4 linked regions of the Arabidopsis thaliana genome follow. The protein of the gene in region 2 interacts with the protein of the main gene of each other region in a pairwise test. Each region holds a gene or a part of one and is shown on either strand. Other genes may lie near its edges. The genes, in order: AT2G44710, AT5G44090, WRKY7 and MPK18.

The links.
Region 1: the proteins of AT5G44090 (region 2) and AT2G44710 interact in a two-hybrid assay, tested with the Arabidopsis thaliana proteins (one large-scale study listed by BioGRID).
Region 3: the proteins of AT5G44090 (region 2) and WRKY7 interact in a two-hybrid assay, tested with the Arabidopsis thaliana proteins (one large-scale study listed by BioGRID).
Region 4: the proteins of AT5G44090 (region 2) and MPK18 interact in a two-hybrid assay, tested with the Arabidopsis thaliana proteins (one large-scale study listed by BioGRID).

What each region holds. Positions count from the first base shown.
Region 1 is NC_003071.7:18,431,121-18,437,721, forward strand, and holds AT2G44710 (RNA-binding (RRM/RBD/RNP motifs) family protein), read left to right. Parts: upstream 1-1,565; 5' UTR 1,566-1,781; coding exon 1,782-2,061; intron 2,062-2,112; exon of another isoform or gene 2,113-2,336; coding exon of another isoform or gene 2,337-2,361; coding exon 2,362-2,918; intron 2,919-3,001; coding exon 3,002-3,091; intron 3,092-3,182; coding exon 3,183-3,422; intron 3,423-3,706; coding exon 3,707-3,928; intron 3,929-4,002; coding exon 4,003-4,360; intron 4,361-4,465; coding exon 4,466-4,779; intron 4,780-4,871; coding exon 4,872-4,975; intron 4,976-5,067; coding exon 5,068-5,171; intron 5,172-5,267; coding exon 5,268-5,338; intron 5,339-5,419; coding exon 5,420-5,509; 3' UTR 5,510-5,511; exon of another isoform or gene 5,512-5,678; 3' UTR 5,679-6,101; downstream 6,102-6,601. Other genes in the region: AT2G44700 (Galactose oxidase/kelch repeat superfamily protein), read left to right, coding at 1-1,001; AT2G44730 (Alcohol dehydrogenase transcription factor Myb/SANT-like family protein), read right to left, coding at 6,327-6,601.
Region 2 is NC_003076.8:17,742,523-17,750,382, reverse strand, and holds AT5G44090 (Calcium-binding EF-hand family protein), read left to right. Parts: upstream 1-1,857; 5' UTR 1,858-2,473; coding exon of another isoform or gene 2,474-2,623; 5' UTR 2,624-2,788; coding exon 2,789-3,043; intron 3,044-3,131; coding exon 3,132-3,371; intron 3,372-3,722; coding exon 3,723-3,828; intron 3,829-3,930; coding exon 3,931-4,030; intron 4,031-4,481; coding exon 4,482-4,587; intron 4,588-4,706; coding exon 4,707-4,797; intron 4,798-5,147; coding exon 5,148-5,289; intron 5,290-5,586; coding exon 5,587-5,734; intron 5,735-5,846; coding exon 5,847-5,956; intron 5,957-6,387; coding exon 6,388-6,544; intron 6,545-6,645; coding exon 6,646-6,771; intron 6,772-6,978; coding exon 6,979-7,119; 3' UTR 7,120-7,132; intron 7,133-7,271; 3' UTR 7,272-7,617; downstream 7,618-7,860. Other genes in the region: ckl7 (casein kinase I-like 7), read left to right, coding at 63-148, 241-304, 405-538, 624-929.
Region 3 is NC_003075.7:12,569,914-12,574,291, reverse strand, and holds WRKY7 (WRKY DNA-binding protein 7), read right to left. Parts: upstream 2,755-4,378; 5' UTR 2,363-2,754; coding exon 1,587-2,362; intron 1,485-1,586; coding exon 1,359-1,484; coding exon of another isoform or gene 1,355-1,358; exon of another isoform or gene 1,006-1,354; coding exon 846-1,005; 3' UTR 519-845; downstream 1-518. UniProt on the Arabidopsis thaliana protein: Transcription factor. Interacts specifically with the W box (5'-(T)TGAC[CT]-3'), a frequently occurring elicitor-responsive cis-acting element.
Region 4 is NC_003070.9:19,969,828-19,975,962, reverse strand, and holds MPK18 (mitogen-activated protein kinase 18), read left to right. Parts: upstream 1-1,569; 5' UTR 1,570-1,804; coding exon 1,805-1,828; intron 1,829-2,036; coding exon 2,037-2,445; intron 2,446-2,541; coding exon 2,542-2,669; intron 2,670-2,759; coding exon 2,760-2,819; intron 2,820-3,155; coding exon 3,156-3,305; intron 3,306-3,393; coding exon 3,394-3,549; intron 3,550-3,668; coding exon 3,669-3,880; intron 3,881-4,014; coding exon 4,015-4,116; intron 4,117-4,322; coding exon 4,323-4,498; intron 4,499-4,571; coding exon 4,572-5,002; 3' UTR 5,003-5,629; downstream 5,630-6,135. UniProt on the Arabidopsis thaliana protein: Mitogen-activated protein kinase (MAPK) that is specifically regulated by PHS1 and MAPKKK20 and mediates signaling that regulates cortical microtubule functions, maybe through regulation of microtubule dynamic instability.

The sequences.
Region 1 (6,601 bases), on a different chromosome or scaffold from region 2:
TTTCGATGATCTTAGCCCGCGTCCCAAAACGATATTACCCAATCCTCTGCTCCGTCTCCAAGAACATGCGGAGTCTTGTTCGCTCGCCTGAAATTCACAAGGCTCGATCTTTACTCGGAAAAGATTATCTCTATATCGGCTTCATCGACGAAAATTATCGCCCCGTATACGACTACTGGTACACTCTCCGGAGAATCGAGAACAGTACGACCGAGAATCTCTTCGAATCCATTGAGTTCCCTTATCCTTCCGAGCCTAATCGATTTTCCATGAACGCCGTTGGTCCAAAGATCTTCTTCATTTCAGAATCTTGTACTCCTTCATCAAGACTTTCGATCTTTGACACCCGATTTGGGGAGTTGCGTCAAGGACCTTGTTTGCTAGTGAAGCGAGGGTACAATTGCGTAGGACTAGTCGGCGGTAAGGTCTATGTGATCGGAGGCTATCAGGACGACGAGATTGCAGCGGAAAGCTTTGATCTAAATACGCAAACTTGGGAAGCAGCGCCGATTCCCGATGAAAAAGAAAGTCACAGGTGGATTTGTAAAGCAAATGTTTCATTTGACAGGAAGGTTTGTGCTTTAAGATCTCGTGAAGGCATGACTTGTTATGACACTAGAGATGGTTCTTGTCAGAGATCTGAGATGCCTAATGATCAATGGTCTAGAGTAGGATTGTGCGTGATTGACAATGTGCTCTTTGTTTACTTCTCTAGATTCGGGTTAATGTGGTATGACTCTAAACTGATGCTGTGGAGAGTGGTTTATGGTTTTGATCTTGACAACGCTCGATCAGTTGGAATCGGGGAATACTACGGAAAGTTGGCGTTTATATGGGAAAAACCAAGTCTTAATGTTAGTGAAAGCAAAGAGATTTGGTGTAGAATGATTGGTTTGCTTAGGAGTGAAGTAGGAATTCATGGAGCTGCAGAACCGTCTCAACTTGTCGAGATTGTCCCTAACGGTTATAGAATGTGTCATTGTCTGTCTCTTTCAGGTTAAAACATGTCTAGTACTACTTTCTTTGGTGTAAAATGATTGTTTTGGATAGGAGTGAAGTAGGAATTCATGTGACTAAAGATGATGATGTTTAATACTTTCGTTAGTCTATATCAATACAATGTGTTACAAGATTATGAATGTGTTGCGGCGTTTACGTCTTCAACTCTCGATTTATTCAATTAATGTTGCAGTTTCAGCATCTTCCTCTGTTCCACCTAATCAAGTTTGTGTTATTGTAAACTCACTCAGTTAAGTGTATTTTACATCGGAGTTGTTGTGTTGTGTTTCTCTTGCCCATTAAACCGATTCCATCGAAAACTGTATTCTTAAACCGAATAATGCAAATATAAATTATAAACCAAGACGAAACCAAAAAAAGATAACCGAAAATGAATGAAAACCGGACTGAACATCGGTAATACAATTAGTCAACCAACACACTTGAAACTCCATACGAGTAAAGGCCCATTGGGGATGAGGATATTTGGGCCAATCCTTCTTACCGTTTTTCGTTTGTTAACAATTACCGAATTAAAAGCTTGATCGCCACGTCTTTTTCTTAATAGAATATATTGATTTTATTTATCTTTTATTTTTAGACCAAGCTCAGGCTATCATCTCTCCGTTAATTAGGGTTTTCTTCTCTATCTCGATTTCAATACCATTGTTGATCCGCTGAGCTAGGGTTGTTCGATCCCGATAATTGTGTCGCTTAGCTCTGATCTCTGTTCATCGAATTTGGTTAATTTGTTTTGATTGGTTAAGATACATTGGAAAGCGATGCCACCGAAGGTTGTGAAGAGGGGAGGCGCCGCGAGAAGAGGTGGGAGGCTTACGAGATCGGCGCTCAAGGCGCAGAATCCTCACGTGGAATCTTCCCATGACGAATCTGTTAATATCGGTGAGCTCTCAGGCTCCGATGCACTGGAAGCCAAGGAGGTGACTCCGGAGGTTGATAAAACTGTTGAGGAAGAGAATCCATTAGATGTGCCGAAGTCATCGGATTCAATTGATGATTCTGAAGCTGCAGCGAATCCGCATGTTGATGTTCCGTCGAAAAGTAAGATTCTTTTAGCCTGGTTATTAATTTTGTTTCGTTTTTGGGATTCTCTACGTTTTCGTTGTTTTGATGGATCTAAGTTTCGCTTTGACGAAAGTTTGTGACTTAGAGTTCCAACATATCTGACCATAGAGATTAAATGAATGTCTGACCATTGAATGTATGAATCTAATTTGGAGGATGGATGTTTAGCTGTTTTTAATTCTGTGGAAGATAGACGTATCTTCTGAGATTGTTATCTCTGAACAAACTTTAGGCTACCTGGAATAGTGTAGATGTTTTACTCGCTTTTACTCGCAGAGGAGACTGAGGTAGAGGAATCTGTGGATGATTTTGGAAAAGATGAAAGATTGGATTTAGATGACAATGAACCTGAGTATGAGGCTGAGGAATATGGCGGGGAGGAGTTTGAAGAGAGGGAATTGGGACAGGAGGACCATGAGTTGGTAAATGAGGAGGGGGAAGAACTGGAGGAAGAGATTGAGGTCGAGGAGGAAGCTGGTGAGTTTGCAGACGAGATTGGAGATGGTGCGGAGGACCTTGATAGTGAGGATGATGATGATGATCATGCTATTGAAGAGGTCAAGCATGGAGAAACTGTTGATGTGGAAGAAGAAGAGCATCATGATGTTCTCCATGAGAGGCGTAAGCGTAAGGAGTTCGAAATATTTGTTGGGAGTTTGGACAAAGGTGCTTCGGAGGAGGACTTAAAGAAAGTGTTTGGTCATGTGGGCGAGGTGACTGAAGTTAGGATTTTGAAGAATCCTCAGACAAAGAAGAGCAAGGGTTCTGCTTTCTTGCGTTTTGCAACTGTGGAACAGGCAAAACGAGCTGTTAAAGAGCTTAAAAGCCCAATGGTAATTGTCTACACTTTAGTATTTGATGGAGAGTTTGTGTAGCTTTACATTTTGTATCATGCTCTTGGTCATTGGGACTGCAGATAAATGGTAAAAAGTGTGGTGTAACTGCAAGCCAAGATAATGATACCCTCTTCGTTGGTAACATATGCAAGATATGGACCCCAGAAGCTGTAAGTATTTGGGTGTCCGTAGATATGTCAATTAAACCCAACTCCACAGTTCGTGGTGATCCTGACAATCAGGTATTTGTTGTTGTTCCAGTTGAGGGAGAAGCTTAAACACTATGGAGTTGAGAATATGGATGATATAACGTTGGTAGAGGACAGCAACAATGTCAACATGAATCGAGGGTATGCCTTTTTGGAATTCTCATCTCGCTCAGATGCCATGGATGCTCACAAGCGTCTCGTCAAGAAAGATGTGATGTTTGGAGTTGAGAAGCCTGCAAAGGTCTCTTTTACTGATTCTTTCTTAGACCTGGAAGATGAGATAATGGCGCAGGTACTCACATTGCAGGATCAATTATTTCTAGCAACTTTCATCCTACCATGTCTTCTTTAGAGCGTTGGAGGAGTTTATAGGGGCATGTGTGGGTGCCACCTATTCTGTATGGTGACTTAGAATACTTGCTAAACCCATCATGAAAACAGAGTCAGAATACATATTCCTTTTGGCCCTCTAACAACATGCTAGATACTGAATTATTGATTGTTGGTGAATCTATTATATCTAACTTATCTATCTTGCTCATAGTAATTAGTTTTATGATATTTCTGGTGTTACAGGTTAAGACAATCTTCATTGACGGTCTGTTACCTTCATGGAATGAAGAACGTGTTAGAGACCTTCTGAAACCATATGGTAAACTTGAAAAAGTTGAGCTTGCTCGCAATATGCCATCAGCAAGGAGGAAAGATTTTGGCTTTGTAACTTTTGATACTCATGAAGCTGCTGTGAGTTGTGCCAAATTCATCAACAACTCAGAGCTAGGCGAAGGGGAGGACAAGGTATGCATAATTTAAATGCATTATCCTTATCCACGAAGTATTTTCTTGCTTTCTAATTCTCTTTTTTTTTCCAGGCAAAAGTGAGAGCACGCCTGTCTAGACCACTTCAGAAAGCAGGTAAAGGCCGACAATCTAGTCGCTCAGACCAGCGGTCTAGGCATGGGGCTGGACGGTCTGGAAGGAGTTCATTTGCTCGTCTTCCACCTCGTAGCCTTGCTTCCTCTCGGAGTGCTAGAGGCGCTGGATCTCGGGCCCCATCTTCTAGTGCAAAGAGAGCTTCTGGATCAAGAGGAAGACGTCCTCGCCCACCTCTACCTCCGCCTGCAAGAGCTAGGCCCTTGCCTCCACCTGCAAGAGCCAGGCCCATGCCACCACCTGCAAGAGCCAGGCCCTTGCCACCACCTGCTAGGTCATATGATAGAAGACCTCCAGGTACCACTGGAATTATTACATGTTTAGTTATCTTTTTTAGTTGAATCTCTTTTGTGTTCATGTATCTAATGATTCTGATCATATCTTCCATATTGTGTTTTGCAGTTCCTCTGTATCCAAAGGCTAGCTTGAAGAGAGACTATGATCGGCGTGATGAACTTCCTCCTCCAAGAAGCAGACCAGCTGTAAGCTATAGTTCCAGGCTTTCTCCTGAGAGGCATCTGTCTTACAGAGATGATTATCCACCCCGGGGTTCGGGTTATTCAGATCTTCCTAGAAGTTCTTCTCGCTCTGAAATTAGGAGGCCATTCGTAGATGACCTTTACAGTCCGAGATTTGAAAGACCTCCAAGTTACAGTGAGGGAAGACCTCGTGCTTATGAACCTCTTCCTGGATCAAAGCGTCCATATGCTGCACTGGTCTGACTTATTGTTTTCTCCGACCAGTTTGTCTTCTTAATTTTGTTTCTTTAGACTATGATTGTTTACTCTAACGAGTGTTCATTATTCAGGATGACCTTCCTCCCCGTTATGCTGATGTTGATGTTCGTCATTCAAGACCCCGTCTGGACTATGATGTTGGCCCATCTCAATATGGGGAATCCTACGGGGACCGGTATGTTCTCTTTTTATGGATAGCTTCAGTTATTTTTGGTAGCAATTTTCTGTGCCAAGTGTATTATTTTCTTACTTCCATGTTTGGTCTAGGATTCCTAGGTCTAGTCTAGGATATGGAAGCAGCCGAAATTCTATGTCAAATCATGACTCGCGGGGCCCATACAGCAGTCGTCAGGGAATGGATTATGGAGGAGGTTTGATTCAGAACTTGGCTTAACAGAGAGCAATACTTCGTCGAGATACACTTACTGCCTTCAATGGCTATAATTTCATAATGTTGCTTTCTTCAGGTTCTTATAGTGGCAGCGATGTAGGAGGTATGTACTCGTCAAGCTATGGTGGCGACTTACCCAGAAGAGATGTAAGTGGCTTCACACTTTCCCCTTTTTTATATTTATTTTGGAAAGTCAAGTTGTGTAACATTTTAGTATTGGATTTACAGGGAGGAGGTAGCTCGTATTCTTCAATTTACTCCAGCCGTGGCTTGGGTGGTAGTAGTTACTCTGGTGGTGGTCCAGGATCATACTACTGAATGTGAGTGTGTTTGGTTCCTTCCATCTTTAGTTGTGTCTTTGTGCATTATTTTTTGGTTTTGTTTGTGGGATATATTGTTGGTTGGAAAGAAAACGGTATCTCCTCTTTCAAGCTCTAAGCAGGAACTATAGATCAAATGTGTGCTTAAGTTTGTTAATGGAACACAGAATTTCACATGACCGAGGCTGCTAAAAAAGGAGGTTTGGCCATGCAAAGTTGTGTATGTAGAAAGGAAGCTACCAGCTGCGAAAGGATTAAAGCCAGCTTCGGTGAGACTGTTGGAATATTAATGGGCTTGCATCTACAACTGCACTTGTATCTTTTTTCGGATGGAATGATAAGCTCGAGTTTTATAGAGATGGTTCATAGTTGTGGGACTCGTTATCTATCTTATCTATCTCTATCTCTTGAATAATGGATGGATTTGTTGGAACAGAGATTAAGCTGTGTTTGTATTATTGATCCATCAGTTTAGTTAAGCTTTCACCGTCTTCTCAGCTTAAGATTTGCATTACTTCTGTTTAGATCTGATGCTTGCTCTGTTTTACTCTCACTGTGGTAAAACAGAGACATTATCCTTGAGACTTGTGGAAGAGACATTAACAACCTCTCACTGTCGGAAACTGAGGAACTCCCAATTTTTATACACTTTATAACATACATAATCAAGCAGGGATACATTACTGGTGTTAGACAGATGCATAAGCTAATAAAAGCTCTTTCGATTTCTACAATCTAGAAAATTTGAAAATCACACATTAATTTAATTTATGGCGCCTTTTGATCAGGAGTCAGCTAAAGACGACGACATTCTTCTATCTAGCTTTCTTCTTCTTGTCTTGCTCCTCCGTAGTAGTATAATCTGATAAGCTTTTAGCAAACGCTTCCACAATTCGTTGTTGAGATTCCAAAATCATCTTTGTCCTCTTCATCTCTGTATCCATCCTCATCGCTTCTATCTCTCTCGTCATCTCCATTCTCGTCTGCTCTGTTCTCACCAACGTATCTCCAAGCAGCTTTATCGCACTAGCTATCTCCACCATTGGATCATTATCATCCTCCTCCGTCTTCATCATCATCTCTCTCCCTC
Region 2 (7,860 bases):
ATTCGCTTACTGTTTCAAGCCACTCTCATCTTATCTTTTTCATATTGTTGAAACTCTTACAGGTTATCAATTCGATTATGTATTTGACTGGACAGTCTTAAAGTATCCTCAAATCGGATCCAGCTCTGGTTCTAGTTCACGAACAAGGGTGATTATTAAAAATCTTATACTTGTGTTTTTACCCTCATGGTTTTTGAGTTTCTCTGTACTTACGTAAATGTAAATCTTTGGATTTTCCAGCATCATACAACAGCGAAACCCGGATTCAACGCAGATCCTATTGAAAGACAAGAGAGGATCCTAGGTAAAATTCTGCTTTTCCTACTTCTATTAAAAATCTCAAAACCATACACATCCATTCCTCACTCTAATTTCTACTCTTTTTTTATTTACCATTCGTGTAGGAAAGGAAACAACCCGATATAAAATCCCAGGTGCAGTGGAGGCATTCTCCAGAAGACACCCGACTACAACTTCTTCGCCTCGAGATCGTTCTAGATCAAGAAACTCAGACGACGGACCTTTCTCTAAGCAGACAGTAAAAATCTTACTCTTTACATACATTGTTGATCAGAACCGCTAAATAAGACAAAGACCTAACTGTGTTTGTTTTATTTGTGCAGCATGGAGACTCCGAAAGAGCAAACAGTTCCTCAAGATATAGAGCATCTTCTTCTAGGAAAGCCGTTGCTGCTTCAAGCTCCCGGCCAAGTTCTGCAGGTGGACCAAGCGAAAGCCGAACTTCAAGTCGTCTGGTTTCCTCAAGCGGTGGTGGTGGCAGCGGCAGTGGAAATGGCCGTCCCTCAACTAGCCAGAGAGTGCAAGCTGGATATGAATCCAAGACTCTGTCTTTCTCTCGTGCAACAGCGGCAAGAAACACTCGGGAAGATCAATTAAGAAGCTTCGAGCTTCTCTCTCTTCGGAAATAAAGGAAAATGATGGAGAGAGAGACAGCAAACTCCATGAAAACCCAAAGAAATTACCTCTGAAGAAAGATGAGAATCTTGGTTTGAGGGAATTCATATATTTGAACCTGATGAAATCCTCAGATCTTTTTACATGTAATTTCAGCTTCAGCTTGCAGAGATCTTTTTCACTCGTTTTGTTTATGTAATCGTGATATGTGTTAGACAAACATAACAATCAAAAATGTAGAGAGAGTTTCCATGTAAAAACGGTAAAATTTCTATCCGTATATTCGATTACTTCGAACCTATCTGTACTGGTACTGTAATAAACAAAACAATCAACTGCTCTTTGGTCTCTTTTAATGCTTCTGTTTTTTTGGGGCAGGCATACTCTGGTCAAATCATGTAAAAACGGTGAAATTTTGGCTTAATAGTAAAATTAGCTCATCTACTTAGTCAAATCATACTTTAGATGACTCCAATCTAAAACTCTTTATTTTTATTTTTTCCATACTTCAAATGTTTACTTATTCACTGATCGTATACTTGAATGGTTATAGTTAAACTCTTCACATTTTGTTAGCGCTCATCTTCGAATAAAGTGGCAAAACTGAATTTCATATTGAAGTTACACATATAAAATACATTCATTTTTAGATTCATATGATCTACTCCTACATACTTTTGCATTTCGACTAAAAAAGCAAGTGCTCCAATACAATTTTTGAGAAATGACAAATATTCATCATCATTCTTCAAAACTAGGTTTACACATGTGAAGTCACATTTTTATGACTTTAATGAATCAGTTGCAATCTTGATGATAACAGTCGAAACGTCATGAAGTTTAACAACCAAACAAACAATTTGATCGCTAATTTCTGCGATTTATTAATTGACTCGAGACTCAAATAAACATGATCGCAAAAACGGATAAAGAACGCTGGATTTGGTTGACTTTTTGGTCAACGTTGAGGACTAAAAGTGGAAAACAAAAATACCACCACCACCGCTAGTACTACTGCGTCTGAGACTGAGAGAGAGTATTAAAATCAAAATTAAATACTTTTTCCTTTTTAATTCATTTTCTCATCAATAACACAATCTCCCTGGAAAAATTCTCTACGACTTCCTCTCGTCGTCGAGCTTGTTATTGATCGGAGAGAGAGATCAGTGTTCTTTGGATCTTCCAATTTCTTCCACGTTTGTGCTTGAATTGCAGAAGAAGTTTTGTATAGGACTCTGTTTTGCTTGTTGATAGAATTTGGGAATCTAGGGTTTATCGAATCGTTTATTTTGGTTTTCGTTTAGTTTCTCTTCTTCGAGCTGGTGTTTCTCAACTAGTTAGAGAGTTTCTCGATTGGTCAGAGCTGCTTTTATTGAATTTTCTTTGGATTTCGTGCTTATAGATCTTTGAAAAGTCTGAGAATCCTGTTTTGGAGTTACTGCTTCAAGTTATTGGAAGAAATTAGGGTTTCGATCCAATTTTAGAATTGACTCAAGGAATTCCGATATTGGGGTTTTGTTGTAGTTCTGATTCTCAGTGAATAAGATAGAAGATAATCATGGAAATCGATGGTGGAAACGATGTTCAGATTTTGGATCCTGAGCTCTTGCAGCTTCCCGGTTTGTCTCCTGTATCACTTAAAGAAAATCCTCATATTGCTGAAGAACTCTTCTCCCAGTGGCTTTCACTTCCTGAAACTGGCCGATTGGTAATTTTATTCCCAAGCCTCTGGCTCAGTGGCTCCTTAGCGTCGTTTGGTTTCTTGTTCATTTAATAGTTGGCGCCTGTTTTATGTATATGCTGATACCTGTTCGTAAGTCCTTGTTGTGACTTTATCTGATTTCAAGTCAATTTCTGCAGAGCAAGATTCAACATGCTTATTGCTCTTACTGAATCCTCGGCTGTTGCATATTTAGTAGTTTTGTTTATTTCTTATAGATTTTACTTAGTGTTAGATAAAGAGTGCTTGAATAGCACATTTAGGGGTTATAATGACTTAGGTGATAATAGTACTGGGATATTACAAGGCTCTGCTAAACTTGAGAAGTGTTTGTATTTGTGTAGTACCAGATTTAACTTAAAGCTCCTGAGAATATGGTCCAGTGTTGTATGCCGATTGCCGACTCATGTTGGTGAAGAAACTTTTGGTGGTTGTTTTTCGTTTAAGGTTTTACGTGGTCCTCTTTTAACAGTTCATCTGTGTGATGTTTGTGCAGGTCAAGTCTTTAATTGATGATACTAAATCTAGTACCCCAGTCAGTGTATCCAAAAATTGTACTAGTCTCAATGTTGCTTGCGGGAGTGCATTGCCATCTGTTTTTCTGAACAGCGGCACTCCCCCACTATCCCCACGAGGCTCACCTGGGTCTCCCCGTTTCTCGAGGCAAAAGACAAGCCCTTCTCTACAGTCTCCTCTGAAATCAGTCAGGGAACCAAAGCGCCAACTCATTCCACAGGTTCGATTTTTTATCCAACTGCTCCTCATATGGATGTCTTACAAACAACATGAGAAGGCACTACCTTGCTTGACAGTTGACATCATGATTTGATTGTTTTATATATGCTCACGTAATTGTTGAAACTAGACTGTAATAGTTTTCTAAGTAGATGGAGAACCACGAGAACAAATACAATAGAAACTAAATTCTTCGTTCAAGTAGCATAGGTACAATTTTTTTTTTAACAAAACGATGACAACAAGTAAGTTTATTATGGTCATCCGTTTGACATCTTACATAGTTGAAGGGTTTAGCTAATATTGTTCAACATTCTTGTTTGACGCTTCTATGCCTTGATATGCTATGCAGTTTTACTTCCAACATGGACGTCCACCTGCGAAGGAACTAAGGGAGCAATGTATATCCATGGTTGATCAATTTTTTAGTAACTATATAGACGGACTTCATATGGATGGTGATGTTTAAATACAAGCTTTTTTACATCACAGTCCCGTTCTGTAATGAATAGACAAACAGTTGATCTTACAAACACATTCTTGCTATTGTTCAATTGCAGAATTCAAATCCATTACTAAAGAAGTCTGCAAGCTGCCTTCTTTTCTTTCCTCTGTACTATTTAGAAAGATAGACACGAGTGGCACCGGTATCGTTACAAGGTAAATCATTGTGTTCTTTCTTTTCATATGTAATTGTAGTTAAATGTATATATCCACTGGTATTCATATGTGTTTCATGTAATATAATAATAGATCACATTGGTCTGGATTTCCAGATGCACGCTCAGCTATTTGTTTCATAAATTGCTCACCCTTAAAAGAAATGGAATGTGGCATAGTAATTTTAATACCTGATTGTTATCTTTTTATTTATTTATGCCACTCGAATATAATTTCTTTTTACTTTCAATAAATTTAGTGTGCTCGATTTTATATATTGTTTAGAACATTTGTGATAAGTAATATTGAAGTTTCTACCCTGTAGATATTGTTTGGAATTGATACATCTTTAAATTAGCCAAATCATGAGTAATATCATAGAAATATACAGCAGCTGTAATCTTTCTGTTTAGCTAGTATCTTTTAAATACACCATATTTGGTTCCTGCAGGGATGCATTTATCAAGTATTGGGTTGATGGACATATGTTGGCAATGGACGTAGCCTCACAGATATATAATATTTTAAGGCAGCCAGGTTGCAAGTACCTTAGACAGGTCTCTTTGTTTTCTTTTCCCAGCTCTTCACTGCTGTTTTGATTTGTTTACCAATGATTATTGTCTCACTTGATTTCTTTAGTCCTGAAGGCTAATGTCTTCTTTTGGATTTGGGATAGGCTGACTTCAAACCAGTTCTTGATGAGCTTCTGACAACTCATCCCGGCTTGGAATTCCTGAGGAATACACCTGAGTTTCAAGAAAGATATGGTAAGAACTTGGTTTTTGATACATTGATGTTATGGTGTGAAATAGTTCTACCAGAATGTCTGTTTTCTACTAAGACGTTCGTACAATTTCTTTCCATATATATATGATCTTTCAAAACGCATTGACGAACTTGAAAGTGACATCTTTAGCTGGCTTGATTGGCCTAGGCAATAATTCTTCTAATTTTAATTCTATGTACTTGTTCATTATAATTACATTTTGAAAATTATGAGATGCTTCTTAAATATAGTATATTTTCAGGTGCTTACTGTTTTATACATCTATTGACTAATTCATAATTTTTCCCGTGCTTGTTTCATTCATCTCTGTGTTCTATTCCGTCAACCCAGCTGAGACCGTCATCTACAGAATATTTTACTACATAAACAGATCAGGTACTGGTTGCATTACTCTTAGAGAGCTGAAGCGTGGGAATCTTATTACTGCCATGCAACAAGTTGATGAAGAAGACGACATCAATAAAGTTATTAGGTGACTTTGTTTTCCTTTTCATTATTTCTTAAACAATACGTTAAAAAGATTAAGATTTTAGTTTTATTTGTATAATAAAGACCACTTTAAGTTGTTTAAGAATTCAAGCTCAGCAAGGTGTGTAGCATTGTGAGTAATATGGGTAGTGCATAGGTCTTCGAATTGTTTCTTAGACATAAGCACTACCCATAAAACTCATAAAGAGGAAGAAGTGTATTGGTAGTTCATATTGTGATACTGTGGCAAGACATCATGCATGATTTGACCATTCAATATGACCTTTTCTTTACTTTTCAGGTACTTCTCCTATGAGCATTTCTACGTGATATACTGCAGATTTTGGGAACTCGATGGCGACCATGATTTCCTTATTGATAAGGAAAATCTCATCAAATATGGTAATCATGCCCTTACCTACAGGATTGTCGACAGAATATTTTCACAGGTTGGCTCCAGTTGTCAAAATGTTAATGAACACTTTTCTCGAAACTTAATTGTTATCTTATGGAGTGTGTTTCCTTCTTTCTTAATTGAAATTACGGCTGTCTCTCACTCAGGTTCCTAGGAAATTTACAAGCAAAGTTGAGGGGAAGATGAGTTATGAAGATTTTGCATACTTTATTCTCGCTGAGGAGGATAAGTCATCTGAGCCTAGTCTTGAGTATTGGTACATGTCTCTTCCCCTCTTCTCTTTTTGTCTTTAGTGACTTCTCTTTAGCCATTTTGTCCTTTAGCTGCTTAGCTCACAGTATGTCACTATAAATGTATAACTTCTGAGCCAAAACTTGTGGCATATGTGGCCTTCTTGATGATACAAGCCTACCTGATATTTTGAACGCACTAAACATTTAGTAGTACTATTATTTCATGAACATAGGATACCCATCTTGAATCTAAGACATTTTCATTCATCATCTCATGAACCTAGAACATTTTCATTCATCATCTCATGAATCTAGAACATTTTCAGTTGAACCGCTGATATGAGGGCATACCTCGCTGGTATGCTCATCTATCTCCCATCGATGTTAAACACAGGTTCTTGGCAGTTTTTTGTTTTTCGTTTTCCCTTGATATTGATTAAAACCATCTTTGCAGGTTCAAGTGCATAGACCTAGATGGAGATGGGGTGATCACTCCCAACGAGATGCAGTTTTTCTACGAAGAGCAGCTGCATCGCATGGAATGTATAACCCAGGAACCTGTACTCTTTGAAGATATCCTATGTCAAATATTCGACATGATTAAACCAGAGGCAAAATTTCTTTTAAACCATAACATGGTCTTTTGATATTCCTGGCTTGTCTGTTCCTTTGCTCTTATTCGCATCATCAATTTGTCGAATGACTCTTTCAGAAGGAGAACTGCATCACACTCCAGGATCTGAAAGCATCCAAACTTTCTGGAAATATTTTCAATATACTCTTTAACCTGAACAAATTCATGGCGTTTGAAACCCGTGACCCTTTTCTCATTCGTCAGGTAAACATAGGTTTTCTATAGAGTTTTCCTCCCTTTGGTTATTCAATCCTTCGTTTAGCTGTTGAAACTGTTACTACTGAATATTTATTAATGCCATAAAAATTCGCAAAAATTATTATAAGTTCAGATAGTCACCTACTACTGCAGCCGGTTGTATCTGTTCCAGTCTCTGCTACTTCTAAACCAACTTTGTTTTCCATTTGACAGGAACGTGAGAATCCAACATTGACGGAATGGGACCGATTTGCTCAGAGAGAGTATGTGAGGTTGTCAATGGAGGAAGATGTGGAGGAAGTCTCGAATGGGAGTGCAGATGTTTGGGATGAACCACTCGAATCTCCATTTTAGTGACTCGTAAGAGGTACTTTGTTCAACACTGGTCAGCATCATGTTCCTTATGCATGTATGAAATAGCAAAATTGATGTGCTCAATGTTACAAGTTTGTATCTTTTGGTATATTAAACGTATTAAAAGCCGTTTTCGTTGCTTTTTTTACTAGTTTCTTGGGAAGAAGAGGGAGAAGTCAGATCTTCTTGGGTGGTAAGAGCCTCGGAAACAATTTTCAGACAGACAACCACGAAAGCCAGTCCATTCCACGGTTCCACCTAGAGATTGGCGACCAAGAGACTTATCCGATGCGTAAGCTTGTGTTAGTTTCATGAAATATTTGTCTTGCTTAGGTTTCTCAGGTTGGACCCTCTTTCAATCTTATGTATATTATTATATACGCCGCTTTATAGTGTTTTGTGGAACCAACAACAACGGTTTTATTTAAAATCGAAAGAACTATGTACAAAGACACTTTTTTTTGTGGGAAGAAATTTACAAACCTTGAAACTTGTTTTACATGATCATTGTTTTTGCTTTTTCCTCATTAGCAAATTTGTGCCTATGATATCAACTACAATTCTCGTATAAACTATAGAATATCAAATCAAATTATATACTATATATCAGTTTTTGATTGGTTTGAGCCGACATTGGTTATTTGTTTGTATAAGAATCATTAAAACTTTGTTTGTCAATATGATATTTTGGAAGATGTGTTAAAAAGTCGTGCATTTTGTTTTAACAAGCATGAACTCACT
Region 3 (4,378 bases), on a different chromosome or scaffold from region 2:
CCTCTTTTACATATAATACAATTAAACAAATTTTAACTAATTAGATAACATACTCTAAAATATGATTGGTCTAAAAAATTTTAAAACATCTTTTTAAAAAAAGTCTCTAAAACATCACTTAAAAGTGATATTGAAGAGTTATAACGCAATGATGCATGAATAGCTGATTTTCTTGGTAACAAAATTTTGTAGTAAAGCTTTAAATTTTTTACTAAATGTTGAAGTACTTTACACTTGAATTTATAGCCGTTAACATAATCATAAACATTGTCAACTTTGTTGGAAAAAACACACTTAAAAGGATAACGACATTGCATCTGAGGTTTTTCACTAATGCTGAAATAAATACTTATTAGAGCTACTTATTATTTGATCGACAACTTTTCTAGTTTCTATAAACGTGTGTTAAGTTGATTTGACTATGTAATCTACAAATAGTTCTTTTTTTTTTTGTTTAACGAAATTTGAATTGCAATTTTTTCCAATTACCAGCATAGCATTATGGTCAGTTGAATCTAAATTAACTGATAATTTCCCTAAAAACTCAAATAGTTCTGCAAGTAAGAAAAGAATCAGAGATTTGACAAAAATAGTGCACTAAATATATATTATCCTAGAAATAAATAAACAGAAAAGGACATTCACATGATTCAACTTCCATCAAGATCCACAACGTTCCTCTCTCGTCTTTATCTCCCCTCCCTCTATTTCCTCCAATCAAAAAGAAAGATAAAGCAAAAGCTTTTCAAAAAGAAAAGAATAAAAAAGTGCAGTGCGGGCCCACTCTGTCGTTGACTAATCTGGATAGTGGTCACACACAGACAGTTCCCCTCAAACTCGAGAAACTAAAGAGTTTTGTCATGATTCATCGTCGTCGTCTCGAGAACCAAAGCATGGTTGTGGTCTCCTTCGTACGTCACGATTAGCATCATCGCATCATCTAGTGCACGCTCCACATGCTTACGCGCCGGACAACCTCTTACACTGCTGCACTTGTAATATCCCCTGTCATAACCATTACACCGAGTCCTCCCCAGTTAGTTCGAGTTCTTATTAATTAATGAGAAAAGAAATAGTCAACTTAACTCTCGGCTTTCTATTTCAAATTTATTCTATAGGAAACAACAAGTCAAAAAGAGCGTGAAACTGAACCCACTACTGTACTACTAGACAACATGTTTGGTACAACCGATATAGAAAAAAACAATATTGACAATCTCTCTGGTACTAATATTGACAATACACAAGTTGCTTAATTTTCTAGCCAATATTTGATTTTTGGTGTTGAATCTAGTGAGTGATTGTGATGTATGTGTAGAGTATATATATCGATGGTAAAAAATGTAAAAAATAATTACCGAGGATGAGGAGAGCCTTTGATTGGTTTTTGACCATATTTTCTCCATGAAAACTCATCTGATGGTATATCAGCCATTTTGCTACTTACTGCTGGAACTCTAATCACTCTTTTTACTCTTGATTTCCTGATTTTTTTACACAAATTATAATTAACGTTTTATTAATCAAATCTCAAGATTTAGATCTAAAATAAGATTAATTTTTAATAATAGAAGTTGAATCAAAACCTTTTCTTGGAGCAATGGCAACGGCTTGAGGGAGATGAATTACATCTTCTCTTCAACGAAGCTGATGATAAAGGAGGTTTACCTCTCGAACCAGAGAGCTGAGATGGGTTAGTGAACTCGAATCCTGATGACATGTGAGTACTATCGGTGTCACATCTATGAGAAGACATGAATGAGTTCGTCGCTGAGACTGGTGGTGACGGCGCAAAGTTTATCGTTGACGGTGCTCCGTTTGCGAGCATCGGAGGAGATGAAGAAGACGAACCGTTCTTTGTTTGATTCTGATTGTTGTTGTTATTGTGTGATAGAGGAGGACGACGATGAATTGGTGTTGGACAATAAACTCTAAACGCAGATCCACCACCGTGATATTGCTCTGTTTTCTGTTTTGTTAACACGGAGCTTGTTTCTGGCTTCTTCTCCTCCACCTCCACCTCCTCCTCAACCACCGGCGTTTGCTTAAACGGCGTTTGCGTTGACGCGGGAGCTCGTCTGAATCTAGCGTGTCCGGTTCTAGATCTACCGAGTAGAGAAATGACCTTCTTGAAGCTGTTAACGGCGACGTCAGTCACCGCGGTTATCTCCGTCTGACTCTTCTCCGTTGGTTGTTGACTTTGACCGATCAGTTTAAGAAACTCCTCCACACCGTGAATCCCTGCAGAAGCAGCTTCTCTCAAAGCGGTATCTTCCATTTTCGCCGCCGCGGCGATTGCAGGAAAACCATCACCTCCTCCTCCGCCGCCGCTGTAGCTGCTCATCATCAGCTCAACAGTCATCTCATCAAATCAGAGACCAACCACTCAGATTCTTATTAAAGGTCAAAGGAGATGTAAATAAATACAAAGATTCAACAGTTTTCTTGTAAGTTGTGTTTTTGGTTAAAGAAGAAGATGATGATGATGATGAGGGGAAGAATAAATGAAGAGAGTGAAAAAGGGGGAGAGTCAACGATATGCGTTTCTCTCTCTATATCTTTAGGTATGTGTTGATAGTGCATCAGTCAAATCGACCACCACTCATAGGCTTACACGTGTGATCATTTGTCAAGCGTTTTGACACTCCTCAGCGTCAATGATTTTAAATTTGGAGCAAGTGGAGCTCGAATTATATATATATTCGTTATTATTATTCGAGAAAAATCTAAGATATTTTATATTTTTGAGGCTGATTAGATGCTAAAAATATAAAAATTAAATTTTTAATTAAAGAAAGATCTAAAAGGAGGAAGGTCTCTCTCTTCTCTCTATAGTATTTTTCAGAGAAAGATTTTTCCGATGTAAGTTTAGAATCGCCGTCCGGGTTTCTTCCGGTTTCCGTTATCTGGATTTTTTCCGGCTATTATCTCCCGTTGATCGGGATTTAGATTTCTTTTTGGGCAATTTTGAATTCGGTTTCTTCGGATTTGTTTTTGTTTTGTAGCTTTAAAATCTTGATGATGAAACATTATGACAGGCAGAATCTTCAGTTCCGAAGAGGTGTTCTCTTCGCATGATTTAGTTTCTTTCTGCTTTGATTGGCTTCACCGTTGGGTTCTGTTTTTTTTGGCTCCAACAGTTTTCCGGCGATGTGTGCGTTCTCGACAATTAGGTTCGTTTGGATCTACTGTGTTTAAGACAGTTTCAATTTCTCCACGACTAAGGTTAGGTCAAAGCTCGTTTCCTATGCAATTAAGATATGCCTTTGTTGTTCTTGCAAGAGATTTAATTGTTAGACAAGTTTGAACTACTCAGTTTTCTCTAATTTCTTTTACCCATTTTTGCCGAATCCTTTGTGATTCTTGCAATCGGATGAGATTAGGAGATTGATGTTTGTTCTGTAACTTTTAATTGGTGATAAAAAAGAAGTCTCGTTGACCGGTGATTTTCCAACGACGTTTCTGATTCACCAGGCTTGAGTCTCATGTGCAGTGGAGGTTAGGCCTGGGCACGAAGCGAATATCCGGAAAATTTGGGATATTTGTTATTCGATTCGTTTTAATCGAATACTTAATTTTATTATTTGCTTTGATCCGAAAATTTCCAAATATCCGAAAATACGAATATCCGGATTTTTGTATGATATTTGTCGGATATCCGCTTTGCTTTGCTACATCCAAATATTTTTTTATATAAATTATTTAACATAGATTTCAAATTTCTTACCTTATGACTTACGAGTGTGAGATTGAGAGCAACTGAAAATTTTCTGGTTATAAATTCTGTAACCAAATTGAGTGATAAAAATAGTGAAAGGTCGAAGAAAGGAAACAGAAATGTCGCTCTTATATTTGATGGATTGGAAAGTAAAACGACAATTTTAGGATAAAATATAAAAAATAAAACAATTTTATTTTAAAAAATTCCACTTCTCTAATAAAAACTGTGTCACAAAAAAAACACAGGCCCAAAGGATACAAATACAAGCCCAAATCCCAACATATACAAATGCACAACCTATATTGTGATATATATATATATATATATATATAGATCGAAGCGAATATCCGACTTTAGAAAAAATAGTATTTGTTATTTGCTTCGGTTTTTACGATTACTACATTTTTCTATTTGCTTTGCTCCAAAATCTTACGAATATTCGGATTTTTCGAATCAAATCAAATCGAATATTGAGTTAAAGCGGATCGAACGAATATTTTGTCCAGGACTAGTGAAGGTTGTGGACGTTCCACGTGTCCCTAGCTTATTATTATTGGTCTGACACGTCTATAGCTTATCTCTTCTTTTGTGTCGTATGAGCCTTTATATGTGGGATGTCTTGGGCTTTATTTTGGTTTTCTCATAACCAAGCATTGT
Region 4 (6,135 bases), on a different chromosome or scaffold from region 2:
GTGCACAAATTATCATTATTTATGGGTGATCCCTTTTTTCTTCTATCATTATATATGGTTCATGGAATTTTAATAAGATGTAACTCAAATAAATAAACAAACAAAATAAATCTGCTTGGTGGAGATATTTTGGCTCCTCCAGTCAAAACTCTAAAACATACATACACGAAAAGCATGATTCATGTGATGAATGGTAATATTGTGTCCACTCTGTTGAATTCTGACTCATGATTATATATATATATATATATATCTTCGAATTATTAAACTTGCAATTCAAAATATTATATATATCATTTTGAAAAACCATTAAAACTATTTTAAAAATAGATATGCTGGTTATATATATTATGCAGAGCCTGGTCTAAATAGATAGAACCAGTCAACCATCATTTATATTTATCTTTGGCCGATAATTATTTTAAAATGCGCACTTAGTCAAAAGAGAGTAAAATTATGATTTTAAAACCGAAAGTAGAAGAAAATGAAAAGCAATGAAATATGCAAAAAGGATCAACTTTAGTTATAAGTTATAACGCCTTAAAATATTGACAATAAATTGACACATGCACCACCTACATCGTCGTATAGTGTGAAATTATATGGAGTATGATAATTTGAAATTATGATATTTTGTACTTTAGATAATGAACCAACTTTGGATTTGAATGCCTCAGATACAAATGAATAATAAGATGTTGGATTTGTTTTAATCAAGATCAGTTATAATATTATCATAATCTTCACCTTTTTGTGGATTTGCCCCTATTGTGATAAACTTTTAATATGAGCCAGACACTAAATATGTTGGTCTTTTCAATAAATACAAAAGCCAAATTGTGTAAATTGACATGTGAATATTAGTTTCACACGAATTGCAAAATTATTAATCTATTTATTTTATTTTATTTTCTATCAAATACTAAGTCATATACCAATGAGGATGGCAGTTTTTTTTTTTCTTTTGATTTTGTTTTTATCATCCCATAGTATCAAGCAAACAACTTGACACTTGGAAGGTCTTTTTCTCAAGGTTAGTTGATTTACATGGAATAAATGTTCATCAAAGATGGTATTTTATCCTAATATATTAATCGTGTATCGTCTTTACCAAAATAAATTAAAATCTAAGACAAATATCCTTCAACAATATTTATTTACATATGAATTAGTCAATTGTATATAGATTTTTCAATCTTAAAAATTTAAATCAAGGAATATAATAAGCAAAATTGAGATAATGTTAATAATATTCCTTTCAGTGGTACGAGAAATACTATCACGTGGGGGTTAAATTGACCACTTATCAAAAAGAATGGTTAGAATCAAAACAAAATTAAGATAGGGGTCAAAATCGGAATTTAAGAAAAATAAAACGGTCCAAGTCCAGCAACAGGTGTCTAAACCATTGGGTCATTTTCCAAAAAGGTCGTCCACAGACCACAGTGGGAGAAAACCAATATTTACTTTACCCTCAAATGTTGTCTAAAACTACGAAACTGCCACTATCTGGGATTTGTCACACCCGTACGCAATAAGTACCACGAGAAATTGCTAGAATTAGAAATTATTTTTATTCAAATTTAGAAAAAATATCTCAAATTCGGTATTTTTAAAATCCTCTCTCGTCTTCTTCTTCTTCGATCGCTGGATCTAGGTTTTGCTCTTCTCTGTATCGTCTTCTTCACAGACTGGGCTTGATTTTGAGTTCTTCTAGTTTTCGGATTCTTAGCAATCTAGGTTTTTTTTTTTTTTTTACTTTTCGAAAAGCCGATCCAGATTTTTGATAATTTTGAAGAAGAAGATGCAACAAAATCAAGTGAAGAAGGTTCGCTTCTTGCTCTCTATCTCTCTCAATCATGCTTTGATTCTAAATGTGGGAAACAGAGGATAAAGTCTTATCCTTTTACAAATTTAAAGACAAAAAAAATAAAATCTTTCCTTTTTCAATTGCAATTAGGTTTGGTTTTGTTGCATGAGCATAAATAAGATGTGTGGATAAAGTTTGTGTTTTGTCTACTTTTGTGATTCACTAGGGCACGAAAGAGATGGAGTTTTTCACAGAGTATGGTGATGCAAACAGATATAGGATTCTGGAAGTTATTGGTAAAGGAAGCTATGGAGTTGTGTGTGCAGCTATTGATACACATACTGGAGAGAAAGTTGCTATTAAGAAGATTAATGATGTCTTTGAACATATTTCTGATGCGCTTCGTATTCTCCGTGAAGTGAAGCTTCTTCGGCTTTTACGGCATCCTGATATTGTGGAGATCAAAAGCATTATGCTGCCTCCTTCTAAGAGAGAGTTTAAAGATATCTATGTTGTGTTTGAGCTCATGGAATCAGATCTTCATCAAGTTATTAAAGCTAATGATGATTTGACTCGTGAACACCACCAGTTTTTCCTTTATCAGATGCTTCGTGCTTTAAAGTTCATGCATACAGGTGTGATTCGTTTCATTGTTTCAGACCTGTGAATCTTGGCAGCATGTTTTGTATTTTTTCTGGTTGTAACTTACTGTTATCCTTTTGTTCATGCAGCTAATGTTTATCACCGTGATCTTAAGCCAAAGAATATACTTGCAAACGCAAATTGCAAGTTGAAAGTTTGTGACTTTGGATTGGCTAGAGTAGCGTTTAATGATACTCCTACGACAGTCTTTTGGACGGTTAGTAGCCTCGAGGAGGAGACCTTTTGTTTGTTAGCCGTTAATTTGTGTGTTTGATTTTTCTCTCTGACTCATTTAATCGCAATGCAGGACTATGTTGCCACAAGATGGTATAGAGCACCTGAGCTCTGTGGATCATTCTTTTCGAAGGTAGGTGTTACTGTGGATTTCTTCTATGCATTCTAATTGGCTATGCTTAGGTCTTATGAACAGATTAGTCTTCTTTAGTGTAGAATATATGCAGATTAGTGTTAATAGCTGATATTTGATGTTACTTGTATAAGTATAGAGTTGTGCCCCAGTGGGATATTAAAATAATTCTTGTTCAGGGATGACTTGAACTCTCCCCGAAGTTGAAAATCTATGAATCAGGTAACCTTGTATCAGGTTATGTTCATTGAGTGGTTTCTTTTGCATCTGCAACTTCATATTCATGGATTTTGTTTTTTCATCATAATCTGATTTACAGTCAAAATTATTCTGCAGTACACTCCAGCTATCGACGTTTGGAGCATTGGCTGCATCTTTGCAGAGGTACTAACAGGGAAGCCATTGTTTCCGGGAAAAAGTGTTGTCCATCAGTTGGAGTTGATTACTGATCTTCTTGGCACACCAAAATCAGAAACAATTTCTGGAGTATGATCCGTTTTTCTTCTTCACATTAATTTCTGGAGTACGTATATATATTGAACTGTATAGCTAAACATTTATTTCTCTGATGCAGGTTCGTAATGATAAAGCTAGAAAATACTTGACTGAAATGAGGAAGAAAAATCCTGTCACCTTCTCGCAAAAATTTTCCAAAGCAGATCCATTAGCACTCCGTCTTTTGCAGAGGCTGTTGGCTTTCGATCCAAAGGATCGACCGACTCCTGCAGAGGTCTCTTTTCTGTCTTTTTCACTTTGTAATTAGATTCTTCTTCGGTCCTCTTTGTAAAGCTGCCTTGCGTCTTGTGTGTATCTCTCTGCTTACTTTGCTATCTTTTTGTTTTTCGATAGGCATTAGCTGATCCTTACTTCAAGGGTCTTTCTAAGATTGAAAGAGAACCTTCAAGTCAGCAAATCTCGAAAATGGAGTTTGAATTTGAGAGGCGAAGGTTGACAAAGGACGACATTAGAGAACTAATATACAGAGAAATACTGGAGTACCATCCTCAGTTGCTCAAGGACTATATGAGCGGATCTGAGGGGTCTAATTTTGTATATCCTAGGTTTGAATTTCTTCCTACCTTTTATTATTATTTACCAAATGAAACATTTCTTGTTTCTTTCTCCCGTTGAATTTATGTCCAATCGCGTACCTCTGCCTGGCTTTTTATTCATGTTTTTACTTTTTCACTTGCAGCGCCATTGGACATCTTAGACAGCAGTTCACTTACTTAGAGGAAAATAGCAGTAGAAATGGGCCGGTCATACCTCTCGAGAGGAAACACGCATCACTACCGCGGTATGTTTTCTCATTCTTTATATACAAGTCGACTGTAGGGAATATGCTTATTCTTTTGTTCTTTCTTCTGCTACTGCTTAGCATTTGTGAAGCATATGGTCGAAGGCCTCAAGCAAACTTTCATATGTTCTCTACTCTTCTAATTCTAAAAACTTTCATATGTTCTCTACTCTTCTAATTCTAATAGATATGATTGTTTTCCACAGGTCTACGGTTCACTCAACTGTAGTCCATTCCACCTCGCAACCCAACTTGGGTGCAACAGATAGTAGACGTGTTTCTTTCGAGCCTTCAAAAAATGGAGCTTCTTCTGCAGGACATCCATCAACTTCCGCGTATCCTACTAAATCCATCGGACCTCCACCAAGAGTTCCACCATCAGGTCTCAATCATATCTCCAAATATTATTTCCTAAAGTTAGAAACTTCAACTAACTTTCACCCTATGTTTTACAGGTAGACCAGGTCGTGTTGTGGAATCATCTGTATCTTATGAGAATGGCAGGAACCTCAAAGAAGCTTATTTCAGAAGCGCGGTTTCATCTCCTCATTGCTACTTCCGACCAAACACCATGACAAACCCGGAGAACCGCAACATAGAAGCTTCGTCTTTTCCACCAAAGCCACAAAATCCTGTCCACCAATTCAGTCCCACTGAGCCACCAGCTGCTACAACTAACCAAGCAGACGTTGAGACTATGAACCACCCAAACCCTTACTTTCAACCACAGCTCCCGAAGACAGATCAATTAAACAACAACACACATATGGCCATTGATGCTAAGCTGTTGCAGGCACAATCACAGTTTGGTCCAGCAGGAGCTGCAGCGGTTGCAGTAGCAGCACACCGGAACATAGGCACAATTAGTTACAGCGCAGCATCATAGACAACACTTCAGACAGATCTTTAACCACCACATCTTCCTCCACCAGGTGATTCTCTAGTTTTTATGTAAGTATTATTCAGTCCAGGCTCTGATATGAACTACGTTGCAATGATATAAGAAAGACTTTTATTTAGTTGTAACTCTCCAGAACAAGATCGCCTTGGATTAGTCTGATTGCGGGTCAGTCCCGGTTATTGTTTCGGTTATCTTGTTGGCTCCATAATCTTTGAATTTGCCATAAGCGTAGTTCACCGTAGAGAAGAATATCGTGGTGATTATATACTTCTTAAACTTCTTAATCGGTCCCATTAGTCTTTATTGTTCTTCAACAAAAAAAGGAATCTCTTTGGTTATTGGAAAATATGGTCTTGATTGGTTAATATAGACAACATTATGCCGAAGAATGTGGAAGTAACAAAATAAAACATTGGTCCTTAGATTTTTCTTCTGTAAACCACTCTTTCTCAGATTATATAATTAGTCAATTTTATTCAATGGTTACAAAAAGAAAAAAAAAAACTTGCCAATGAAAAAAAGGAATGCTCTTGACCTCAAGACTCATCATGGTTAACAATGAAATTCGCCTTAACTTCGAAATTTTGACGCCGTTGAAATGTTTATAATTTACCCGCCAAGTTTGTAGGCCTGAGTTTAGCCCATTAAAGGTAATATTAGGCGTCCATTAATCATAACGAATATCACTTTCTCAATTTAACAAGTCATGAGAAAGTGTACACATTTGATCTATTTAATATTTATTAACCAAAAAGGAAGCAAATCAATTATTTCGTTACGTGACGGTGGCATTAAGCATCTTGCATTGAATGATCCGTTATATATAATCTCAGGTTTTTTTTGGGTTGAAATGATGATATTAAATTTTAGGTTGACATGTACTTATCTTTGTAATCAACTAATTAAATATTTGAACTGACATGTCTACGTTATATCATAAATAAACCAGGTGTTTTAATTAAATACCACGATTAACCTTCTAAAATAAGGAAAATCATATTTTATTCGTCAATCACTATAATTTGGAAAACGATGCAATATATTTATTTCTTTCTTTATACACATACTTAATTAATTATCAAAATTTCATTCTATTTTAATTGATCTGAAATGTCCTA